4 linked regions of the Mus musculus genome follow. The protein of the gene in region 1 binds, or shares a complex with, the protein of each later gene. Links are inferred from orthologs where the notes say so. Each region holds a gene or a part of one and is shown on either strand. Other genes may lie near its edges.

Region 1 (4,300 bases):
TTTTCAGGTAAAACATGCATATACATAAAATATTTTTTAAAGTTTCATTTCCCAGGATGGCAATGAATTTGAAATAATCTTCCTGACCCTCACTCCTAAATGCTAGATTTTGAATTAGTGTCACTATGCAGAAATGCTCACATGTGCAAACATGCAATGGAACTCAGAGAATCAGATATTCTTCCTTGGGAAAGGTATTCATTGTAGTCTCTGAGACAGTCTCTTGGTGGAAGGCTAGACAGTCTGTGTGCCCGCCCAGCAAGCTCCATAGCTGTTTCTGCTTTCCCCAGCAATGGAATTACACACACCATCACACTGGCTCTGGGGATTGAACCCAGGCCCTCTTTACCAAACTGGGCCATCTCCCCAGCCCTTATTTGAATTTACATTTTGTCAAATTAATTTCTGTGCCACGTGTTTTTGTTTCCTTGGCCTAGTGTATTGTTTTTTTTTTTCTTTCTTTTTTTTTTTTAAAGGCACGGTTTCTCTGTGTAGCCCTAGTTATCCTGGAACTCACTCTGCAGACCAGGCAAGCCTGGAACTCAGAAATCCACCTGCCTCTGCCTCCCAAGTGCTGGGATTAAAGGCGTGCACCACCACGCCCGGCTGTATTGTCTTCTTTTATGCAACTTCTTAAAACAGGACTTCTGAAATAATGCTTACTGTTACCTCCTTAAGTGTAATAAGGCAAGACAGTCAAAATTCCACAATATTTATAAGATAAGGGCTAAGGCAGAACACTCCGCGGTAGCACACTTTTCTTGCATGTATTGACCTGTAGGCTCACCCTGCAGCATCAAAAAACAAAGAAATCCCAACCTAAATAATACAACAAGCACAGTCACAAACCAAACCCTTGGTCCACCATCTGCTTCTTCCTGAATGCAACCTATCTCTAAAACACAGAACACGAGTCTGTTCAACCAATCCTGCACAAAATAACTAACTCCATGACAATGTCATTCTGACAGTATCTACAGCTACCATCCAATCAAAACAAAGTTCACAATATGTTTTCTGATTTGGAAAACATTACCACAGATACCAAAAAACTCTAGCTATAAAATAAAGGATGCAGTTTTTTTGTTTGTTTGTTTGTTTGTTTGTTTTGTTTTGTTTTTCGAGACAGGGCTTCTCTGTATAGCCCTGGCTGTCCTGGGACTCACTCTGTAGACCAGGCTGGCCTCGAACTCGGAAATCTGCCTGCCTCTGCCTCCCAATTGCTGGGATTCAAGGCATGCACCACCACGAAGGATGCGTTTTTGCACAAACTATTCAGAATTCTGTCCTTCCAAGATTTCAAAATCATGCATGCATGAGGAGCCAGTCAAGTGGCTGTCTTCTCAATCCAGACATATAAAGGACCCTGTCCAACACCTTGTAAAGGATTTCAGCATCGTATTCTCTGACTCACAAACTCACTTTCTTTACTGAGAATAAATCAACTAAGTGTAACCTGTCCCTTCAAGAGGTGTGGCTTCAAGTTGCAGTCATTAACCGGGCAAGGCTGGAATTAAAGACATGTGCCACCATCACCAGACTTCTAACAGACTTTTAAAAGCACACGAGAAGAATGTATAAGAGAAGCAAGTCAGGGAATTTTTGTACCACACAGCTAGAGGTTTTTTTAAAGAGACATTTTCTGACTTACGCCATAAGGAAAAAGAATCTATCACACTCACTTCTGAATCTTCTGCACTTTCATAATCGGAAAGAACAGCTGAAAGGAAAAGACAAATTATGTGATATGTAATAACATAAACGTTTGTTACTACATTTCTGACAGTTCGTTTTGGGCCAGGCAAACATCCTCACTTAATTTGTGGACGCAGCAACTTTCTGGGGCAGATAAAATTATAGTTTCTGTTGACAGATGGAGAACTTTGGGACCACACTGACGAAAAACTATGCTGTTGTCAGGTGTTATTCTAAGTCACCACAGTGCACTCAATCTGTCACCTTCCAAAAAGGAACCAAACCAAACAAGCATGCTCATCATCACCATGACACAAACGCCACTCCCGGGGAACGCTCTCCAAAAACCCCTAACAAACCGAGAAAGACCCAGTGTAAGATATACATGGCCTTAATTTACATCCACAAGAATTCAAGATAAAGTAAAATTACTCACCATCTCCTTCCATGCCATCTTCACTCTCCTGGGAGGAAGAAGATCACACAGGTTAGAGTTGGTGATTTCCAGACGCGGGGAGCCCACCCGCAGATAACCGTGAGGGACGACTGAAGAATCAACACAGATGGTTGGGTAGGAATATGGGGCAAGATAAATCTTCAGAAGTCACATCGAGAATGGCGGTTCTCTACATCCCAGCCCCAGTTTCCGTGTAAACATTGCACGCCCTGAGCTCAGAAACCACCCAGTCCTCCTTCCCCGGGGCTCTGGGTGGATGCAGATTCGCAGCGGGACAACCTTTCTTTCCCTCTAAGAGGAGGCCCGGCATCTCACAGCATCTCCAGCCCGCCCCCTGCCGGGTCGCCGCCCTGGACCGCCCGCCGCTCACTCACACACTCAGACTCCTCGGCGCTCTTGGCGCCCCCGCTCTCCACCCGCCGCAGGTGAAGGCCCCCGCCGCGGCCGCCGCGCTGAGAAGGCAGCGAGCCACTGCCGCCGCCTCCGACGCTCCCGCTGCAGCTGCCGCCGCCCCGCGCCGGAGAGCCGCTGTCGGAACCCGAAGCCCCGGATTCCTCGTCCTCCGTGTCCTGGGAAGCGCGCTGCCGCCGCCGGTCCGCCATCTTACGGAGAACGGCCACCGCTGGTCAGCTCCTTACGCACCACGCCCGCCGCGGAGGCTGCCGGGAAGCTCGAGACTCCGGAGTCCCAGCGTGCTTCACGTCCAGGGAGGGCCGCCCTTCTTTCCGCGGGGCGGGGCCTGCACCCTGCGGCACGTTTTCTGGAGAGCGAGATGACGTCTGTCGGTGATGTAAGGAGGCGTGGCCTAGCGCTTTATTTCCCCACACCCCCACACCCCTAGCCCCGGCGGGCGGAGGGCGCCTGGGAGCGGGGCTATTGCATCCTCTTCGGGTTCTTAGCTCGGCCATCTTGGACTTTCCTTGGGGAGGGTTTCGAGCTCTTCTAGCTCCAGTGCGACGTTGGAGCAATTGCATGATTTTCGTTTTCCATTGCTCGCTTTCCCCTGAATTCTATACAGAACATTTTACTGTATTCCTTCGCATGGTTAAAAATCACGAGTCCAGGTGAAAAAGCCTTTAGTCCTGCGTCAGTTGCCAGCTCTTCACCTCAGTCTAAATTTAGGGGAAAGGAGAAACTGCAGTGGGGACAGAACTTAGTATTGCGGTGTTTCCTGGGTGTATTCAAAATCTCCTTTCTCCATGTGTCTTCCTAACCTAGTTATCTCATTTTGAGAACTGAAGGTTGGAAGGACACTAGTCTTACTATGCTTTTAAAACATCAGAGCTGGATCACCCTTGACTAGTTAAGAGGCTAGTTTTGGACCCTCTCTGCCCCTTCAATGTCTCGAGGTATTAGTTTCAAATCCTGGTGCATTGTTACTCTACAGAGAATGCTTTGGGTATGCATTTATCAGCAGTGAAAGAAAACTCAGCACAACTACCTTGCAGCAACATATAGTTTGTAAGCTAATTTATTACTGCATATTGTTAATATACATCAAATAGATGAGTTAAGAGGACTCTGAGCTGTTTTCATAAATAGCTAAAGGTCCCCACTGCTTACCAGATCTATAAACAGTATGAGACTCCAAGGAATCATGACTGTCTGCAGGGACTGATTCAACTGGTGACAGGTGGCCAAATGTATCATGGAGTTCAGCTCCAGAAACAACTGCCTGAACTCAAAATGGAGGATGCATGATTTAATAAGTGTGAAAGGCATAAGAATCTTATCCATCACAATCTAAAATGGTGCAGCAAGACTGCCAAGTTGAGTGTCTAAATAAGGACAAGGATAGCATGCCACTTTGTCCTTTAGTTGTTTGGTCGGAATCCAGCTTGGGATGTTTTTTTTCTTTTTTCTTTTTTTTTTTTTTTTTTAAGAAAATCTATGACCTCAAGCTAGCCTTTTCATCACTCGGGACCCACCAGCTTCAGCCTCCCCAGATGCAGGCTATGAGGGGACAATACCTGTAATCCTGCTCTGGATCCTACTTTCTTTTGTTTTTTGAGACAGGGTCTCATGGAAGCTAGGCTGATCTTGAACCTGGGGCTCTCCTGGCTGTGTGGGTGCTTGGGATAGCAGTCCTCCTGAGAAACAGTTGTGAGAAACGGTCAATGTTTAGCATGAATAGACAGATGGTCTGGG
Region 2 (4,291 bases), on another chromosome or scaffold:
TTGAAGAGGTGGGAATTAATGGTGGGTTCTTAGATCATTGCAGCATATCAGCAGAGGAATTGTGGGCCTCCAATGTCTGTGTGTTTCTCTCCTGGTGAGAGAGGTCACTGCGTGGCCACACACCCATTCTCACTACTGCAGCGGTGTTTGGATTTTGAACCTCTGGAGTGATGAGCTAAATAATCTCTTCTTTATTTTTGAGAATTTCACTGAGCCTCACTGGCTTCAAACTTGCTATGAACTAATTATTTCTTTTAAAAAGGCTTTTTCAGGCAGAGTTTCTCTGTACAGACCTGGAACTTGCTCTGTATATCAGGCTGTCGTCAAACTCAGAGATTCGTCTCATTCTGCCTCCCGAGTGATAAAAGTCTTATACCATCACCACCACCATTACTGAGTCCAACTTGAATTTCTAATCCCCATGCCTTCAACTACAAAGTCATGGAATTGCAGGTCTGTATCATTCCTGACAATAATCCGGCAATAGCCTCTGTCAGATATATTGTTATAGTGGTAACAGACAACTGATACACCCTGCTGCTTACAGACAAGGTTTCATGCCTCGCAGCCTGGCCTTGGTGATCTTAAACTTCTGAGCTTCTTGCTTTCACCTCCCCAGTGCTGACATATAAACATGGCTACCATGATCAGTTTCTGTGATGCTAAGGATGAAGCCCAGGGCCTCATGAAGACAAGCACTCTACCAACTGCTTCTGAGGAGCACTAGGTCATGCAAACAAACAACCCAAACCAAACAAAGAGAAAAAGATATGATGCTGATTCGGCATAAAATTAACTGCTAAATTGTATGAAGACATACTGTCATATCCTTAATGATATAGTAGAAATCCCAGCAGAATGGAACACATGACCTTTACTGAGATTCAGATATGCCCAAATGCCTATCATTATCTCTTACAAGCAAGAGTAACTATCCTCAGATTTAATATCTAGGCCATGATTTTCCTGATTGAAAGTATGGCAGAATACTTTGTCACATGGGCTTTTTATAATCAGGATTAAACAACATATTGTTTGAACGAGGTTATTCACACTCTGAACCTAGATGGGTTTCCACAGTAAAAGGAGGCAAAATGATTTGCTCATCTATGAGTACGCTGCCACCCCCATCCCCCGCCTTCTTCCACTCCCCAGTGTGTGGATCAGGAGGGGGCTCTGAGGTGGGAGAGTAGTAGTAAATGTCTATGGTTTAGCTCTAAAGAGCGTAATTCGAGGTTGAGACTTTCCCCTGATCCGTTTCCTCTTCAGAAGCAAAGTCAATGCTGTCTTCATAGTCTATGTACTAGGGACTAATATATTTAATTCTATGATAACATTTGGGAGTCACAGGTAGGTTTTCTTATCCTTTGTTTTACAGATGAAAACACAGAGACCAAGTTCAGCCAGAGAACTTGTTTTGAGGTCACATGGTCAGTATGGGGCACACCGAGGGTACAAACCAAGACACACAGATTTCAAACACTTACTAGCTTTTGATTCAGCACTGGGGGGGGGGGGGGAGTGAATCAGAGAAATAATCTAGCTGCTTAGAAATAAGTGCTCGCTTCCTACACTTCATCTTTCATTACCAGAGAGAACATAAGCAATGGGAAACCAAAGGCTAAGTCGTAGTGAAGGAAAGGTCTGTACCTCTTTCCTGATCATGACGTCATTTTTGTAATTGCTGTTGTTGGCGTATCGCAATTTACCTTCGGAAGAAAAAAGAAAAAAAAAAAAGAATGCAACGTATTAGAAAACATGAACAAAGCACCATTACCCTCCAAAGAATATGAGCTTTGCCTAAATTATATCGAATGTTTCAACCCATTTCCCAGCTGTGATAGTAGTGTTTTTGGTACTTCACTTGAAACTACTGAACAACAGAAGAAGGACCTGACAGTAAACTAGAGTCCCGGGAAAAGGCTGCCATGATGTAGCAAAAGAACACGTTCTCAGCTGTAAACAGGAATTTTAATGCTATCTTAGCTGCACAGAGAAGAACATGCTGATGTTCAACTGGGTTGGGAAAGGACTTTGAAAACTAAGGAAGCTGTATGCAAGCAAGCACTACAAACACCTGTATAGCGAGGCTCTTGACTAACATCACCCCCTACTACTGTCTCTCAGTCACCCCAGTGACCACCTGGATATGTCTGGCTCTTTGAGGTCCTATGACACTTGCTACTCCTGTAGATGCTTTTCTTCCTGTACTTCAAAAATTGATCCCTTTTCAATTACGGCTTAATTCAAATTCACACTCCTCAGACTGCTCTTTAAAAGCGACCTTACTTTTTGATCACTCCACACTACAAGAGATCGCTGTGGTTTCTTCCGGCTCTGAAACACATGTTCCACGAGAGGGGAAAATTTATTTTTGTTGCTCTGTCCCCAGACTGGAAAACAAACAGCCCATTCTCAGATGGACATTAAATCTTTGTTGAATGTAAGCAACCTGGCTTTTTAAAAAGCTACGAAGGAGAATCGCCAGCGGATGAAGAGAAAGAACCAATGAAGCCGACAAAAGAATGCCTCTTTCACGACCCAACAGCACGGTGGTCGGCGTCCCTTGCTTCGCTTCGCCACATTCCGCAGCCCGCCTTCTCTCCGCCCTCCCCGGGGCCGGTCCCACTGCCCGCAGCCGGGAGGCCGCTCTTACCGTCAGGTCGGAATTCAAACTCCAGGAACTCATGACCGAACTTGCCTTTGTGGCCCACGTAGTAACGCAGGTAAAAGTCACTCTCCATGCCTCGCAAGGGACAAGGAGGACGGAACTTTAGGAACGGATGACACTACCACGGCCTGCGGTCTACGTCTTATACTGGCGTAATGGTGGCGCGCGGAAATGACGTCTGCCACCGCGACACTAAGAGTTTCTCACTCTCCGGAGGCGGGAACGAGATTACCACGCCCCCTCCCCTAGACGCTGGGTCAAGATCGCCACGCCCCCTTGGTTGTATATCGAGAGTTCTGGAAGATCTTGGGATCCGAGAACTGCATCTGGGTTTCAGCCCAACACTGAGCGCTAGAGTCCTGTCAGGCGCAACCTCAATTTAAAGAGACAAGTGAGTCGAACGAGGTTATTCACACTCTGAACCTAGATGGGTTTCCACAGTAAAAGGAGGCAAAATGATTTGCTCATCTATGAGTACGCTGCCACCCCCATCCCCCGCCTTCTTCCACTCCCCAGTGTGTAGATCAGGAGGTGGCTCTGAGGCGGGAGATTAGTAGTAAATGTCTAAAGAGCGTAATGAGAGTTTGAGACCAGTGGCTGCATACTAAGACCCTGTCCCGAAAAATAAAGTTGGCTTTACTTAGCTGTCTTTTAAGAATGACTCCTTTCCCATTCCACAATGTTGCCTGAAACTTGCCTGCATTTAGCTAACATCCCTTTCTGCTATTTCTTTATTTTACGTGTAGGCAGAGTACTGCTACCTGATCCAGACTGACCTGAAACCACAAACCCTCCTACCTCATCCTCACGAGGGTCACCACTCATGAACGAGTTGCCTTTCATTCTTCCCTTTCAAGCTAACATGTCTAGATAGGTGTTGTGGGTCGGTTAAATGAATGTTGGATCCCTACTAGGCTTTTTTGTCTTGTTTTGTTTTGTTTTTCGAGACAGGGTTTCTCTGTGTAGCCCCGGCTGTCCTGGAACTGACTCTGTAGACCAGGCTGGCCTCAAACTCAGAAATCCACCTGCCTCTGCCAAGTGCTGGGATTAAAGGTGTGCGCCACCACCGCCCGGCTCCTACTGGTCATCTTATTTAGCAGCGATTCTCAGCCCTAGCCACATGCTGACAGAATCCAGTTTCACTGAAGCCTCTAAAAAAATACCCAGGTGAGAACTGGGCATGGTGGCCAATGCCTTTGATCCCAGCACTTCAGAGGCAGAGTGGAGTAGACCTCTGTGAGTTTAAGCCTAGACTGCTCTTTGCATAGTGAGTTCCAGGCCAGTCAGGACTACCAAGTAAGATACACACACACAAACTGAAACAAAAACGAGGTGGGTCAAATGTGGAGACCACTACCCAAGAGGTTCATTTTCAAGAGCCAAAGTTGACCTCTGTGAAAGGTCAAATTTCTGGTGCGGGAATTTTAAGGTCAAGTAGGTGAAATACGGTAAATTCTAGTCATAGAAGATTGACACACGACAGGTGTGGTGGCACATGCCTTTAATCCCAGCACTCAGGAGGCAGAGGCAGGCGGATTTCTGAGTTCGAGGGCAACCTGGTCTACCGAGTGAGATCCAGGACAGCCAGAGAAACCCTGTCTCAAAAAAAAAGAATTGACA
Region 3 (4,286 bases), on another chromosome or scaffold:
GACTCAGGGTGCTAAGAACAAGCTGGTGTTATTCAAATGCAAGAGGAACAAGAACAGAATTACAAGAGGAATAAAATTTTTAAAAAGCAATTAATTTTTTATAAAAATAAATAAAACTAGGGCTGGAGAGATGGCTCAGAGGTCAAGAGAACAGTACTCTTCCAGAGATCCTGCATTCAATGCCCAGCAACCACACGGTGGCTCATGGCCATCCATAACGAGATCTAGTGCCCTCTTCTGGCCTGCAGGTATACATGCCAGTGGAATGCTGTATATATAACAAATAAATAAATCTTAAAAAAAAAAAAAGAAAGAAAGAAAGAAAGAAAGAAAGAAAAGAAAAGAAAAGAAAAGAAAAGAAAAGAAAAGAAAAGAAAAGAAAAGAGAAAACTAGAAGACCACTGCCACAACAACAAAATTTGGGAAACAAGGGTGAAGTTATTAAGTTCTAAATAACAGCAGGAACACTGACTGCTATGCTGACTTCTTCCTAAATGCTTGAAACTTTTGGAATCCATGATCCTCTCCTTACCTATCAAAGAACCTCGTGCAAGTCATGCATAAAGCACTTAAGTAAAACCCATACTGTCCTATAGTAGGTTAAATGTTTGTCTCCCAAGTACCTTCAGCTTTGACATTTATATACTGCCCACTACATAATGAACATTCAAAAATAAAAATTCTTGGTGCAGGTAGGCAGAGCTGTCCCAAGACAGAATTGCCTTACACTACACAGGGAGAGGCTCCAACAAACCCCTGATCATTCTGCTCTCCTCTGGTTTTTCTCTCACCCAGAAACCAAGAAGGTTTCTCAGTTTTATCTCAATCAAGTGTCTCATCTTCTAGGGGCAGATTCTTTTTTGCATGGGGAACTTTGTGAGGGGACAGGGTTTGACTGTGTAGCTCTGGCTTTTCTGAAACTCCATCTGCCCCCAGAGTACTAGGATTAAAGACTCAGGGAAGCTGGGCGTGGTAGCACACGCCTTTAATCCCAGCACTCGGGAGGCCGAGGCAGGCAGATTTCTGAGTTCGAGGCCAGCCTGGTCTACAGAGTGAGTTCCAGGACAGCCAGGGCTGCAGAGAAACCCTGTCTCAACCCCCCACCCCCACCCCAATAAAAAGACTCAGGGAAAACTTTTTTTGTTTTGTTTTTCAAGGTCTGATCATTTACTTCTTTGTCTTAAACACTTACTGTTTACTGGACTCAGACTTAAAAGTAGAAGCTCTCATTGAGGACAGTCTATGTCTCTTGGAAATCTGTTCCTGGTATTTTTTTTTTTTAAGCTTCATTCTCTAGGCCAAAAGTTAAGCTTATTCTGTAGCTACCTTGTTTTTCTTAGTGTGTTGCTTCTTGAGAACAATACATTGGAGATGGTGTTGTTGAAGGACAAGTGACGTAAGTAGATGCTGAACCTTGGGTGCTTTCCTCCTGGATTTCTTACAGCCACTGTTGCAGGGCTTTTCAATAGTTCATTAGCAGACATCGTCTTCTTTAGAGTTACTAAAATGCTTTAAGATTCTGCTAGCTTGTTGGGACCAAAAACAGAGGGACAGGGGCTCAGTCCAGCAGTATCAATATTTTTTTACAATAACCAATTTGAAAGCACTCAGATTGGCATTCATAATATATCAAGAACAGACCTGCAATTCCTCTCTCCAGCTCTCCTTGGTCTATAGAAGTATGCCCCTTACTCAACAGCAGGTACACTCTGCTCTGGGTCAAGAAGCCTTGTTTTGTGGGAAAAGCTTGTTTGTCATTCCCCCAGTCCTTGGTTGTGACTGGGACCACACAACACTTCCCCTCTTCACCCAGAGCATCAGCGGCTACCCCTGTGGCCATTTGCTTCTTGCTGAAAGTATGAAGTTTGTATTGATTGTCCCCTTGAAAGAGTTCTGACAGCTGGTGGCTAGGAAGGAGATTTTCAGACTCATTTAGACAAGGCTGGCCGACTGCCTAGGAGGTGGCACAAAAAGAGCTTCTAGGAGCATTTCCACTGACTCCCTTACCTTTGGCCATCATCCACTAGTGAAGAACTGTATTTCAAACCTGACACATACCACATTCCTGTGTTCAGACACGGGGCTCCTCCCCTATAAAGCAGCTTTAACACATACCATGAATGAACGAGTAGGCCAAAGAGGTCACCTAAAGATTCCATGCATCCTCTGGAGTATCACTTGATAATTCTGTTAACACTCCCGGAGCACAGGTTCTCTGCTCTAAGTTTCCGATTCCTATATGTTCAACTTTTCAGGAGTGGCAGAATTCGCTTTTCTGAATTACTTTACAGCATTTTTTTCCCTCTCACAAACATAACCCATGTCTGCTCTCACAAATACAGCACAAGCCTGCTACAAAAGCAAAGTCTTCCAATGTTGGAATGAAACCCTTCAAGCCCTTCTGGGAGTCTGGGGCATGGTGACACGCCTGTCATCCCAGCATCCCAGAGGCTGAAGCAGGAGGATCGTGAGTTCGAGGGCGGCTTGGACTACACAACAAGGCCCTTTCTCAAAACTAAACAAGTAAATTGAAATAAAGAAGAAAGGAAACACACACACACACACACACACACACACACACACACACACACACACACACACGCTGAAACCCGCTCCCTGGGCGGCTCGCCCTCCCTCGCAGCCCCTCCGCCGCTCACCGTCCGGCCGAAACTCGAACTCCAAAAACTCGTGCCCAAACTTGCCCTTATGCCCGACGTAGTAGCGAAGGTAGAAATCACTACCCATAGACATTTTTACCCTCGGTAAAGCCCGCTATACCGCGGGGCCAACGTGCCGCCGGCGCGAGGTAGTGACGTCACGGGCGCAGGCAAAGCGCGTCACCAAGGGCGCGTTTACTCCGGTAGGGAACGAAATCCCGGAAAACTGAAGAGGAAGCAAGAGACCCCCAAGAGAACTGAAGGTTCGCATTGGAGCCACCACGATCTCGAGCGCTTTTTTTTTTTTTTTTTTCTTTTTTTGGAAAAGATTTTCATGTCTTCGATTTTTACGTTTTAACTCTGTGACGATGTTATACACGTACATGATGAATTTTAGTCGCTCCCACCATGTTATCTTCTCTCATCCCTTCTCCGCTGAACCAGTCTTACCAATAAGCCCTCCTGTACGTTTACGCCTTGTTTTTGTCTGGGTTGAGGGGAGGCTCACCGAGTTTAATAAGGGTGGCTTGCATGAGCGCGTTGGTGGATACAAAGTCCCGGATTTCATTTTGGCATTCTATATTTTGGTTGAGCCACACTCCACCTCTTCCTCATCTACTGCCCCCAACCCTTGGGCCCAAATTATTCCCGCTGCACTTTCTTGTTAAATGTATCCTGTTACACTTCCCACTCTATTTCTTTAACCTACACTCAGTATCCTCTCTGGTTTAATAACCTACACTCACTAGCACATAAATACACTCATACAAAAGCTAAAATTCTATACAAGATTTGTCTTAATACTTCATCATTACCTCACTATAATAATTGCCAGATTTGTCCGTTTTCCTGTATATTTTATCTTAGCAAAGAAATAGCTAGGGATTTTGTTTCTTTGTTTTCTTCTCGTTTGTTTAAATGGGCTTGGAAGGAACAGATGTAAAACCACTTTTACTTTCGAGTTGCCCTATGCTATAGGTGTGTCTTTTTCTGAGTTTTGAACTAAGGTTTACAAGCTGTACTTATTGTGGGTATCTCTGATCTCGAAGCACATTGTAAAGTGGGGTGTGACTCTACTTCCTGAAACTGGTGAACTGAGAAAAGATACATTCCGGTGGCAACCAGAACACAATCTACCAGAGTCCCTTTTGGTAATACTTCAAAATTTCCAGTAGCTAACAGCCCAGACGGAGACACAGAGTAAAATGAATCTGTCTGGTGGGAGTTTGATGTTTAAATAGCACATGAAACTGAAAAGTCCAGATAGTCATCATAGAAGAGTTTTTCATAGTATACTACAACTCATGAGTCACTAAGGGTTAATGGTTAGTACCCTATATATTTGCAGGGCTAGGTCACAGTTCTCAACAGTTTGAGTTGGAAAAATACGGAACATCCAAGTGTAGTCTTGAAGAGCACAAAATGACAGTGAACTGCACCCAGTTCCCTCGTTCCAATTCCTGATCACCTTTCTTTTAGCACCACTGAGTAATCCTATCGGTGACTGATGGCCTTCTGTCACAATCCTAAGAAAAAGAGTCCAGTCTCAGTACTGGTCCCACGTAACCTTGGACAAGTCATTATCTCTCAACCTGTTTGATCATTAACTAACTAGATACACAGTGATCA
Region 4 (3,561 bases), on another chromosome or scaffold:
TTAAAGATTTATTTATCATTATATGTAAGTACACTGTAGCTGTCTTCAGACACACCAGAAGAAGGCGTCAGATCTCATTTCAGATGGTTGTGAGCCACCATGTGGTTGCTGGGATTTGAACTCAGGACCTTCGGAAGAGCAGTCATTGCTCTTTACCGCTGAGCCATCTCTCCAGCCCCTCTAAATTTTAAAATAATATTTTATTAATTCTTTGAGAATTTTGTACATGCATATAATGTATTCGCCTAATTTTAAAACTACCTCAAGATAACCTAATTTATAGGTATTAGGTAATAAGAATTAATTACCCCTAATTTTTTTAAACTTAGAAACTACAAGAACCAAGGGCCAAGCTGTAGCTCAGTAACAGAGTGTTTAATACATTCAAAGCCAGGGGTTAGACAACTGGCCTGGGGGGGTGTAAGTCACTGGAGAAACTACAACTACATGCCTGTGATTCTCTACCAGTAAATCGCCTTTTGTGGTGGGAGAGGGAGAACAGGGCCTAAAGTAGCCTAGGCTGACCTCCAACTTGAAATCCTCCTTCAGACATGGGCCACCATGTCCCATGCAATAAATTCATTATAAAAATCTAAAACTACACAAAAATATGTTTAAGTTTGGCTTGATTTAGCTCAGTGGTAGAATTCTTGCCTAACTAGATTTGGGTTTGATCCCTAGCAAAAAAGAAAAGATCTGCTTGCCTTACAGAAACCCACCTGCTTCTGCCCCTGCGTTCTGGGATTACAGGTATACACCATGCCTAGCCTTAAAAAAAAAAAAGATTTATTTTTCCTTATTATTTTTTTAACTGTGTGGGGAAGTAGTATGCATGTGTATCTATAAGTACATGCAGTTGCCCACAGTGACTGGAGTTATATATGTCTGTGAGCTGCCTGACATGGGTACTAGCAATTGAAAAAATAAAAAATATTCACCCCTTAACTGCTAAGCCATCTCTCCAGCCCCAAGTGTTGTTATTGATACAGGGTCTCTTTACATAGCCCCGACTGTCCTTGGATTCAAGTAAATAGACCAGGCTGTCCTCCAGAGATCCTCCTCCATCTGCCTCCCAAGTGCTAGGATAAAAGCTGTGTCCTGCCATGCAAGCTAGGCCAGCACTTTTAACTACTGAGAAACACACTCAACCCCAAGCTCATTTTTATATATTACCCATGTCTATTTCCTTAAAGAATTTAGCTGTTGTGACAGAGACTATATGGCTCAGATAGCCTAAAATATTAGCAGCTGTTTTTCCAAGATTTGACTATTATTTTCATTTAAAAATTGTTTAATTATAAATTTTTAATGCTGTGTTTTGAACCTATGGTTCCATTTATGCTGTTGTCTATGACAGTACTAGTGCTTAAGTAGTAATTATAAAAGAAACAGAATATATATGTTCAATGAGATAAAGAAGTTATAATTTGCCAATGTACAGTCTGAGAAGATTCATAGGACAAACTGGTTTCTACAACAAACAATTATGTATCAGGGAAAAAAAAGATTGTTTAGATCAAAATAGAATTCAACCACACACTATGAACATTGTTCATGGCCCTTATTTAAAAAGACATTAATGATGCAACTGGGAAACTCTCACTAGGAATAATTAGGATAGTAAGAAATTACCTTTGAAGCTGGGCAGGGTGGGGCATGCTGCTAATCTCAGCATTCAGGAGGCAGAGGCAGGCGGAACTCTGTGAGTTCAAGGTCAACCTGGTCTACAAAATGAGTTCCAGGACAGCCAGGGCTACAAAGAGAAACCCTGTCTTGAAAAAAAAAAACAAAAACAAAAAAAGAGAGAGAGAAAGAAAGAGAACAGAAAAAGAAAAACAAAAAAGAAAAGAAACAAAGAAAGAAATTACCATTGGGCTGATGAGATGGTTCATTGGGTAAGAGGACTTGCTGCCAAGCTTGACAACCTGGGTTCAATCTCTAGAACCCACCTGGTGGAAGGAGAAAATGGCTCCCACAAACTGTCCTCTCACCACTATTCATGCACTGGACATGTATGCACGTGTGCACACTCATGTGCACACATGCAAAAAATAAATACATAAATTAGAAAAAAAGAAAATGAAAATTCCACAATAGGGACTGGGGATGAAGTTCACTGGCAGAAAGCTTGCAATGATTCAATACCTAGTGGGGGTGGGGATAGGGCACATTCCTTTAAATTTATCCTTCTAAGAATAGGGGGGGAATCCTCATAAAAACAACCAAGTTTAATAAAAAAACAGCAGCACCTTGTTCCTTATGCGGTCTCTCTTAACCACTTCCTCTTTTTTTTCAATTTTTTCTAATGAGCATATTGATTCTGTATTCTCACTCTTCTTTCCTTTATCTCGAAGTGCCTCTTTCTCTCTCTTCATTTCTTCTTCCTTTCGCTTAAAAGCCTTCTCTTTCTCATAGCGTTCTTTCTGCTGCTGCCGCCGGCGCTCTTCTTCTTGCCGCTTCAGCCTCTCTCTTTCTCGGATCATGCGCTCCTGATCTCTCTCATAGTCCCGGTCCCTGTCTCTGTAATCTCTGACACCCTCGTCATCGAGCCTGTGTGAAAAATAAACAAGAGGGCTGGAGACACCTTTCAGTTGATAGAGTGCTTTGCCTAATGATGTGAGAAGTGCCCAGGGCTCCGAGAGCCTGTCTGAAAAACAAGACAAGACAAAATAGAACGGAACAGAAAACAACGGTGAGGCCAAACCTTCACACATCCTATGATTGCAAATACGGAAACACTGTGGTTCTAAGTTGGCCATCTTATTGAGGGTGCACTTTTACAGCTGAGGAAAAAGTAGGAGTTGTTTTAGAAAATAAGAAAAACCAGAAGTCAGGGCTGGAGGGCTGTCTCATAAGTCAAGAGTCTATTTCTTTTGCAGAAAACCCAAATTTGGTTCCCAGAGCCCATATCAGGTGGCTCACTGCCGCCTGTAACTCCAGCTACAGGAGGATCTGACACCGTTGGCCTCCTTGGGCACATGCACAAATAGGCACACCCAAGACAGACAGACAGATACACACACACACACACACAAAATAATAGAAATAAATAATATTTCTGAAAATAATAAAAATAAATCTTTAAAAGGAAAAAAAAGACAGCGGTCATTCATCTAGCTGGAGACACCAGAATATTTGAAACATATGACCCTCCTCCCTCTACTCCATATAAAGCAGCTCCTTTTTTTTTTTAAATAAGAGGTTTTTTTTTAAAAGATTTACTTATTTTACTTATTTTATATATATGAGTACACTATAGCTGTCTTCAGACACACCAGAAGAAGGTATTGGATCCCAATACGGATGGTTGTGAGCCACCATGTGGTTGCTGGGATTTGAACACAGGACCTCAGTAAGAGCAGTCAGTGCTCTTAACCACTGAGCCATCTTTCCAGCCCAGTAGTTCATTTTTTTGAGAAGGTCTTGCTATGTAGTCTAGGCTGATCTTGAAGCTACCCATCCTCCTATCTCAGCCTCCTGAGTGTTACTGCAGGTTGTGTGCGCCATGACAAATAATTTAATTCCATACAAGTCCAGGACACGGCGGCATCTGCATTAGTG

Evidence for each region.
Region 2: Casc3 (region 1) and Magoh share a complex: the UniProt entries of both Homo sapiens proteins name them as parts of the mRNA splicing-dependent exon junction complex. The link is inferred for Mus musculus from reciprocal best matches to the Homo sapiens genes CASC3 and MAGOH.
Region 3: Casc3 (region 1) and Magohb share a complex: the UniProt entries of both Homo sapiens proteins name them as parts of the mRNA splicing-dependent exon junction complex. The link is inferred for Mus musculus from reciprocal best matches to the Homo sapiens genes CASC3 and MAGOHB.
Region 4: Casc3 (region 1) and Upf3b share a complex: the UniProt entries of both Homo sapiens proteins name them as parts of the mRNA splicing-dependent exon junction complex. The link is inferred for Mus musculus from reciprocal best matches to the Homo sapiens genes CASC3 and UPF3B.

The regions. Positions count from the first base shown.
Region 1 is NC_000077.6:98,808,318-98,812,617, reverse strand, and holds the start of Casc3 (protein CASC3), read right to left. Parts: upstream 2,811-4,300; 5' UTR 2,755-2,810; coding exon 2,527-2,754; intron 2,160-2,526; coding exon 2,132-2,159; intron 1,721-2,131; coding exon 1,683-1,720; intron 1-1,682. UniProt on the Homo sapiens protein: Required for pre-mRNA splicing as component of the spliceosome. Core component of the splicing-dependent multiprotein exon junction complex (EJC) deposited at splice junctions on mRNAs.
Region 2 is NC_000070.6:107,878,311-107,882,601, reverse strand, and holds the start of Magoh (protein mago nashi homolog), read right to left. Parts: upstream 2,848-4,291; 5' UTR 2,745-2,847; coding exon 2,657-2,744; intron 1,710-2,656; coding exon 1,651-1,709; intron 1-1,650. UniProt on the Homo sapiens protein: Required for pre-mRNA splicing as component of the spliceosome. Plays a redundant role with MAGOHB as core component of the exon junction complex (EJC) and in the nonsense-mediated decay (NMD) pathway.
Region 3 is NC_000072.6:131,290,415-131,294,700, forward strand, and holds the start of Magohb (protein mago nashi homolog 2), read right to left. Parts: upstream 2,831-4,286; 5' UTR 2,752-2,830; coding exon 2,658-2,751; intron 1,527-2,657; exon of another isoform or gene 1,327-1,526; intron 1-1,326. UniProt on the Homo sapiens protein: Required for pre-mRNA splicing as component of the spliceosome. Plays a redundant role with MAGOH in the exon junction complex and in the nonsense-mediated decay (NMD) pathway.
Region 4 is NC_000086.7:37,093,273-37,096,833, forward strand, and holds part of Upf3b (regulator of nonsense transcripts 3B), read right to left. Parts: intron 2,551-3,561; coding exon 2,250-2,550; exon of another isoform or gene 1-2,249. UniProt on the Homo sapiens protein: Involved in nonsense-mediated decay (NMD) of mRNAs containing premature stop codons by associating with the nuclear exon junction complex (EJC) and serving as link between the EJC core and NMD machinery.